2 linked regions of the Xenopus tropicalis genome follow. The protein of the gene in region 1 purifies or fractionates together with the protein of each later gene. This does not show direct contact. Links are inferred from orthologs where the notes say so. Each region holds a gene or a part of one and is shown on either strand. Other genes may lie near its edges.

Region 1 (4,344 bases):
TCTCATCTCTCCATCTTCCTCCTCCTCTTCTACCCCACGTATATATAACACATTGTTGCATCTGTATAAAAAAGGAATACAATAGTTAAACAGTTTAGCAGAGAAAAGGTAGCAGTCACATTGTTTTTCTAGAGAAGGGATACAATTCTTGCTACTAGGTAGTTATCAAGAAAAAAAAGGGCAATCTACTCACGCCTCCTTGGAGGTTGTGCTTTAAAGAGAATATTTAAAAGGACAATTTGTTGCCTTTTTAAATAATTGTTAAATTACACAGTTTAGATAAGAAACTATTTAAAAAGTACATTTTTTTTTTTTACAGAATATACTTTACATTTTTCACTGGTTCACATGTATGTATATATATTTTTATTTATAAAGCGCTACTTATGTACACAGCGCTGTACAGTAGAATACATTAATACAAATAGGGGGTTAATAAGATAATAGATAAATACAAAGTATAACAATAAATACAAATACATACAAGATACAGTTACAGTTGCAATAAGTTAAGAGTCAAAGACACAAGAGGATGGAGGTCCCTGCCCCGTAGAGCTTACAATCTATATGGCACATGCAGTTGCCTTAACATGCTGACAAGAGTTTGCTTTCTATTTCAGAAAAGCAGACATATATGCTGTAATGTGACCACCTACAAAGCATCCCCAGTGCACAATTCTTACCTTATCAAAACTTCTCCAAGATGTCCAGACAATGCACCATCAATATATTCTTCTGTGTTTGCAAGCTGCAATAATATATATAAATGAATTAACCAACAGAAAAAGCTTCTCACACATCACAGCAACCTTGGATAATGGACACTCATTACTTTCTCAACCATCATTACTATAAAAAAAAAAAACTCTGCAATACAGAAATATTAATATTAATTGTTACTTATGTTTTAAAAGCAATTAAGCTGGCTAATTGGTGCTAATGCTACTAGGGTTAGCAATGGTACTATAAAGTGTCACAACACTCTGGCAAGCACTCCAGCTAATTGCATGCAACCTTAAGCAGCACTTAAAGGAACAGTAACACCAAAAAATAAAAGAGCTTTAAAGTAATGAAAATATAATGCACTGTTGCCCTGCACTGGTAAAATTGGTGTGTTTGCTACAGTAACACTACTATAATTTATATAATAAGCTGCTGTGTAGCCACGGGGGCAGCCATTCAAGCTGGAAAAAAGGAGAAAAGGCACAGGTTACATAGCAGATAACAGATAAGTTCTGTAGAGTACAATAGTGTTTTATCTGTTATCTGCTATGTGCCTGTGCCTTTTCTCCTTTGAATGGCTGCCCCCATGGCTACACAGCAGCTTATTTATATAAATTATAGAAGACTTTCTGAAGTAAACACACAACTTTTACCAGTGCAGGGCAGCAGCACATTATATTTTAGTTAGTTTTTTACACTTTAATTTTTTGGTGTTACTGTTCCTTTAATGTATTTCATTGCCAGCAATGGGCTGCTGATGCCCAAAACCATTTTACTTGTGCAATTTCCTAGTGTTAACTAGAGACAGAGGCAATCCAATCCAAATGTCTCATACACTGCTCTAAAATGGCAACAGGAAAGCCCAGATACAATTCTGGCACAATATAAAGGGAATATAATATAAATTATATATACACATGCATACAATATATATTTTTTTTTATTAAATAATCTAATAAATTAACTTATAACAGCAAGTAACCAACTATAATATCTGACATGTTCAGTGCTATTACTTACCTGCATGTTCATGTATCCATCCACTGATACCAAGTAGCCTTTGTACTCCATCCCCCATTTCAGCTTTACCATAACTGGCTTACCAGTGAGGCCATTAAGGAAGGGTTTTGGATTCAGTGGTAAACTCTGAAAATATAATCATTTATAATATAAATATTCAATAGGTCTTGTGATTAAAACGTCAACTCATGCAATAACCTGAAGTAATCATATGCATACATTTTCAATACTATATCTCTGCCTTTATTTGTCCTCAGTTTTCTCATGCTCCCTTCCAAGAAACCAAAAGGGGACACCTGCCTAATAATGATACTTGGGGCACGGCCAGCAACAACAACCACAAATCCATATCTAATAGAAATCATCCTTTCTTTGGTAGGAGGCTATATATTATTACACTACCACAGTAAAATGAAAAAGGGGCATTTATTTATTCTTCCTGATAGTTGAAAGTGCAGTTCAATAGCTGGAGGGCCACAAGGCTGCACATCACTGCTGGCTGAGGGCAGTCACAGTACAAACAGTATAACATGCCATTTGTAGCATTACCACTTGAGATATGATAGGCAGAGGAACACATGGCCTTTAGGAAATTATCAACTCCCATGTGCCACCGCTTTAAGAACAGACGCAAACATCCCATGTTCGCGGCTCATCCCCAGTAGAGATAGTACCATCCCACGCTGCATGGCTACTTATATTTCAGCGCAGCCTACACCGCGCCTTACATACAGGCTCTTTCCGTGCAACGTGCCCTTAGCGAGTACACACGCTGCAAAGATAACACGTTACGCCTTTCCACACAGGCCTAACAATAAAGCAACCAAACAAACCCGAACCAACTGCATAACCCATTCTGTAAATCCGGCGGGATAAGCTGCTACTCGGGATAATGAACAGCCCCACACACCATGCTGCCTGCACTCCCCCCCATCCCTACACACTGACACCCCCTGTCCCGCCAGGCCTGGAACTCGCACACCTCCAGTACTTACCATGGTGCGACCGCAGCCTCACAACAAACTGCAGATCAATAAAAAAAATTCCTCCCCGGAGCGTCCCGTAGAACACACCGCTGGAGCAAAGCGGGAAATGGCTGCCAAGGCCCGGAAGCGACAGGAGAAAAGACCATAGAGAGCCGACACGCGTTGAATGGCTAACTGCTCCCTCTAGTGGCTGGAGTTGGATTTCCAACATGACTCCAACAATCGCCAGTGGAGGCGGGATTATTTCACAATGGTGTTGTATTGTACAAGGCTCACCCTCTGTGCTGACTCCGGGCCGCCTCAGTACTACTAGTACTACAGGGCCTTCCCCCAGGAACCGCAATTAGGCATTTCTAATAAATGCAAGTTGCTATACTGCGCTGACTGCAATTACAACAAATACAAACATTGCGTCCCGTCTATTTGTATTTCGTACCTTGTTTTGATTATTTGTTAACGCTATGTAATTATATTCACTATTATGCACAACAGTCCAGATTTAGAAGCCTTGATTTTCCGAGGACTTGGTGGCACTTGGAGGGTAAAATTAGAATGGGTAAAGGAATACTGTCATGAGAAAAGGTTTTTTTTCAAAATGCATCGGTTAATAGAACTTCAACAGGTTTTTTTTTATATTTAATTTTAAAAGTTCACATGGGGCTAGCCATATTCTTCATATCCCAGGGTGCTACAGCCATGTGACTGATAAACTTCAGTCACACTTTACTGCTGCGCTGCAAGTTGGAGTGATATCACCCAGGAGTACCTGATTCCACAGGTAGAAAGAAAACCATGATAGTTTTCTCTGTGCTCTTTAGCACATTTGTCTCCCAATGTAATGCAAGCTGTCCCCCTTTATACCAGAATCTGTGCGCTTTTTACAAAGAAAGAAAAAGTGAGAGAGGGGTTGCATTACACTGTGACCCTAAGTGGGTTGCATACCCCCCAACTGTCCCGCTTTTCGCAGGACAGTCCCGGTTTTTACAGCGCATCCCGCTGTCCCGGATTGTTCAATGAATGTCCCGCATTACGGAAATGCAGAACATTCATTAAACTATCCAGGCCAGCGGGATGCGCTGACTGCAGCCAGCACTCCGGCTCCGTCTCGTCCTGTGGCTCCTGCTTCTTATTCGGCTCCTCGTACGGCGGCGACAGGCCCTTTTATAAGGTTGCGCCCATGCGTACGTGTGATGTCACACGTACGCACGGGGCGCAACCTTATAAAAGGTCCTGTCGCCGCCGTAGAAGGAGCCGCATAAGGAGCAGGAGCCACAAGAAGCAGCGTCAATGGGGGGCACTGTGTATGGGGGGCATTTTCTATTGGAGGTACTCTCTATGGGGGCAATTGGGGGCTACTGTGTATGGGGGGTGTTTTCTATTGGGGGTACTCTCTATGGGAGCAATTGGGGGTACTCTCTATGGGGGCAATTTTCTATTGGGGGTACTCTCTATGGGGCAATTGGGGGCTACTGTGTATGGGGACATTTTCTATTGGGGGTACTCTCCATGGGGGCAATTGGGGGCTACTGTGTATGGGGGGCTACTGTGTATGGGAGGATACTGTATGGGGGGCTACTGTGTATGGGAGGAAATGTGTATGGGGGCAATTGGGGAC
Region 2 (3,569 bases), on another chromosome or scaffold:
CCAGATTCCCATTTTTATATATTTATGATAATATATACTTAATGTGGAACAAACCCTAAAAATATGAATTTCTCTAAGAGTAGTGCTCTGAGTACTTTTCCAATTTGCATTAATTTCCTATTGAAAGTGGTTTCTAATATAATAGCAGTTTTAAACAATTTTATACAGCTAGGCCGGCTTTTGGCTCAGCAGCTTTTTAAAGGCTCAGAGTGTCAGCAACCCTAATATCTTTGCACTTTCTGTGTACTTAAAGGAACAGTAACACTAAAAAATAAAAATGTTTTAAAATAATTAAAATATAATGTACTGTTGCCCTGCACTGGTAAAAGTTGTGTGTTTTCTTCATAAACACTACTACAGTTTATATAAATACCCTGCTGTGTAGCCATGGGGGCAGCCATTTAAATTGAAAAAAGGAGAAAAGGCACAGGTTACATAAGAAGATAACAGATAAACTGTGTAGAATACAATAGGAATCTACTTATCTGTTATCTGCTTAGTAACCTGTGCCTTTTCTCCTTTTTTCAATTTAAATGGCTGCCCCCTATGGCTACACAGCAGGGTATTTATATAAACTGTAGTAGTGTTTATGAAGAAAACACACAACTTTTAACAGTGCAGAGCAATAGTATATATTAATTATTTTTATACACTTTCATTTTTTGGTGTTACTGTTCCTTTAAGTTAACCCTTTGTTGACTCAGTTGAGCCAAGTTAATTAGAATAGTCAAATCTGGAGCATGGAATGAACTGGAAAAATAAAATGAATTGAAAAGAGCAGTGTTGAGAAACAAGTTGAAGGCATGTAATGTATGTGTCACTTTATTTGGTGCTATTGTATTTACATAGTCTACATGTGCTAGATTCTTGAGACCAGATGTCTAGAAAATGCAGATAAACACAGCATCCATTCTCAGAAGTGGTTTTAGTGTGAGAATCAGACCAAAATACAGAGCACAAGACTTTTCGTGTAAAGTCGGGTGGTAGGAGGTAATGCTGTAATGGGACTGTAAAAGGCTCATTTTACAATTATGTTGTATTCATGATTTAGTGCAGGTAGAAATGATCATGCCATGATCTGTTACAATATGTGTGATTTATGATATGCAGAATCCTGTATAATGCAATCATTTATCTCATCCCTTTTATTCATCCTTAGGTTCTCTTCTCTCCGAGTTCTTCTCTTTCTACGCTTCTTTGGACCTGCATCTGCTCATCCTCTGTCCATGCAATGGTTTGACCATTCCACTTCCATTCTCCTCTCCACCACCTGCCTGGTCAGAAGGTTTCCGTTTGGGACCACTCAATATCCAAGATCCATTTGAACTGAGTCACAATGTCTGTGGCAATGTCAGCTCTCGTGCAGCTCGCCGCTTCATCTCTCACTGTGCAGCTGCTGCCAGGATCTGCCGTACCCCCAATTACAACTTGCATTCTACCTCCCATCCATGGGGGATCACTCCAATTCTCTTACCTCCACCCACTGAGAGAGAGTGTGTTGGGAGAGGAGGAACTGAAATCTCAATACCTCTGGGAGGTGTTTCACCTGAAAAAACATATGCAGCTGTGAGTAAGGTCTTTGTGGATGTACTGTTGTGTACACTGGAAGAAGGCAGAGAAGACAGCTGTCAAGAAGGGAAAGCTTTGGAATTAAGCACAAAACACGCAAAGGCTCAGTGTAAAGTAGAGAAGAATGAAGTAGGGGGGGAATTAGGGGAACAAGAGGTGCCATGCAAAGCTGAGCAAAATAATACTAAAGAAGCTTCCAAGCAAAAAAGCATCTTTAAAACCGAGGAGGGGATGACTGAATCAGCCAGGAGAAAACGAGAAATGACAGAGCCATGCATGAGTGATATGACCAATGGTAAAAAGAGAAGACTAGAATTTACTAGAGGCATTTGGGATCATCACCTAGCTACATCTGCCATGGAAGAAGAAATGTGTGGGGAAGCACATAAAGATTCCAAAACAAAGATAGACTACTCTAACAATGGCACTGCACAATGGGAGTTGCTAGTGTGGCACCGAGTGTGGGAAGGCAGGCGCAAGGAAAGGAGGCGCAAGCAGAAAGGGGAAGCCGATGGTGTAGAGCTGGAGATTGCTGTGTCTCAAGCACTGGCTCTGGAAAAAGAGGACAAATGTGATGGGCCGCTGATGAAATTAATACTTACAGCTCAACTGACTGTTAAAGAATCTTTGCAGCTTTATCTGACACCAAAATTTGACCCCCAGGGCCTTAGCTCCACATTCTTTCACTTCTTAGAGGGTTATCTACCTCGCATGGTGGCACAAATTCAAGGTTGTGGGGACCCAGTGTAAGGATATTCAATAATGAGAAAAAAAAAAAAACAGTTTTAAGGGGAAACTTGTATTGGGCATTAGCTTATAATAAGCTGTGGGTAATGGTAAATATCCATTTACATCTTAGTATTTTTATTTGTTTAATCTGTCCTTCAGTTGTACCTGCTTAACACTGACCCTTGACAAGTCAATACACATAGAGGTTATGTACATACTAGCGTGCCAAGAGCTACGGTGGCATATATTATAGGCTAGCTACTATTTCATCTACAGGCAAATTAGTTGCATGATAGATGCAAACATGGAAGTGGCTTCTACAGATGTGTAACATAGGGCATACCACCTACAGTGAAACTATCTGCCACATGGCTTTTATAATTGGCCAGATCTCGATCGGCCAGGTTAGAAAATCCAGTCGGATCGGGGACCGCATCGGCTCGTTGATGCGGTCCCCGAACCGACTGCCCCATAAGCTCAAATGTAATCCGATCGTTTGGCCCCAGGGCCAAACAATCTGATCATTTTTTTTTTTTTTAAGTCCCTTGCTACCCAATATCACCCACCCGTAGGTGGGGATATCGGGTAAAGATCCGCTCGCTTGGCGACATCGCCAAGCGAGCAGATCTTAGTGTATGGGTACCTTAAGGATGGAAGAAGAAAGTGCAAAGGTAAGGTGCATTGTGCAGTGTTTATATTTCCTTTTTCCTGCAGTGCTCAGCTAGTTAGTCAGCTCTGCAGCCAACCTCTGCAGAAAGTACCTCTTCTGTCTTTGACCATTACATAGGAATAAATTATCTAGGTATAGGATCTGCAAGGTAAGGGCTAAGAGGTATAGACAAAACTTTAGCAGTAACTATTATAGAAATGTTAATTTAATAATTTTAATTAGCTCTGTTCAATTACCCTTTACACATTCTGGAATGGGATTAGCATCACATTTTTCCACCAGGAGAAAACTAAAAGGAAGAGAGTTTGTATATTCCCATGCTTATATCCATAGCTTATTTGTTACAAACACCTGAGTGCACAATGGTTTACTCATGGGGGTTATTTATAAATACTGGGCAAATTTGCACCCAAGCAGTAACCCACTGGAAACCAATCAGATGTTTGCTTTAATTGTTCTACTTACCACTGCCTGGAAAAAAGCTAATTACTAATTGGTTGCTATGGGCTACTGCCCAGGTGCAAATTTGCGCAGTGTTTATAAATGAGCCCAACTCAGTGACTGTAAAAGAATGCACTTTGAGCTGACAAGCATCCTCAGC

The links.
Region 2: the proteins of snrpf (region 1) and tut1 purify together in Homo sapiens (co-immunoprecipitation; 3 studies listed by BioGRID and IntAct, counting the BioPlex papers as one, with this or other methods). This does not show direct contact. The link is inferred for Xenopus tropicalis from reciprocal best matches to the Homo sapiens genes SNRPF and TUT1.

The regions. Positions count from the first base shown.
Region 1 is NC_030679.2:57,034,474-57,038,817, reverse strand, and holds the start of snrpf (small nuclear ribonucleoprotein F), read right to left. Parts: upstream 2,870-4,344; 5' UTR 2,742-2,869; coding exon 2,739-2,741; intron 1,870-2,738; coding exon 1,744-1,869; intron 749-1,743; coding exon 684-748; intron 62-683; coding exon 1-61. UniProt on the Homo sapiens protein: Plays a role in pre-mRNA splicing as a core component of the spliceosomal U1, U2, U4 and U5 small nuclear ribonucleoproteins (snRNPs), the building blocks of the spliceosome.
Region 2 is NC_030680.2:36,812,742-36,816,310, reverse strand, and holds part of tut1 (speckle targeted PIP5K1A-regulated poly(A) polymerase), read left to right. Parts: intron 1-1,159; coding exon 1,160-2,319; 3' UTR 2,320-3,569. UniProt on the Homo sapiens protein: Poly(A) polymerase that creates the 3'-poly(A) tail of specific pre-mRNAs. Localizes to nuclear speckles together with PIP5K1A and mediates polyadenylation of a select set of mRNAs, such as HMOX1.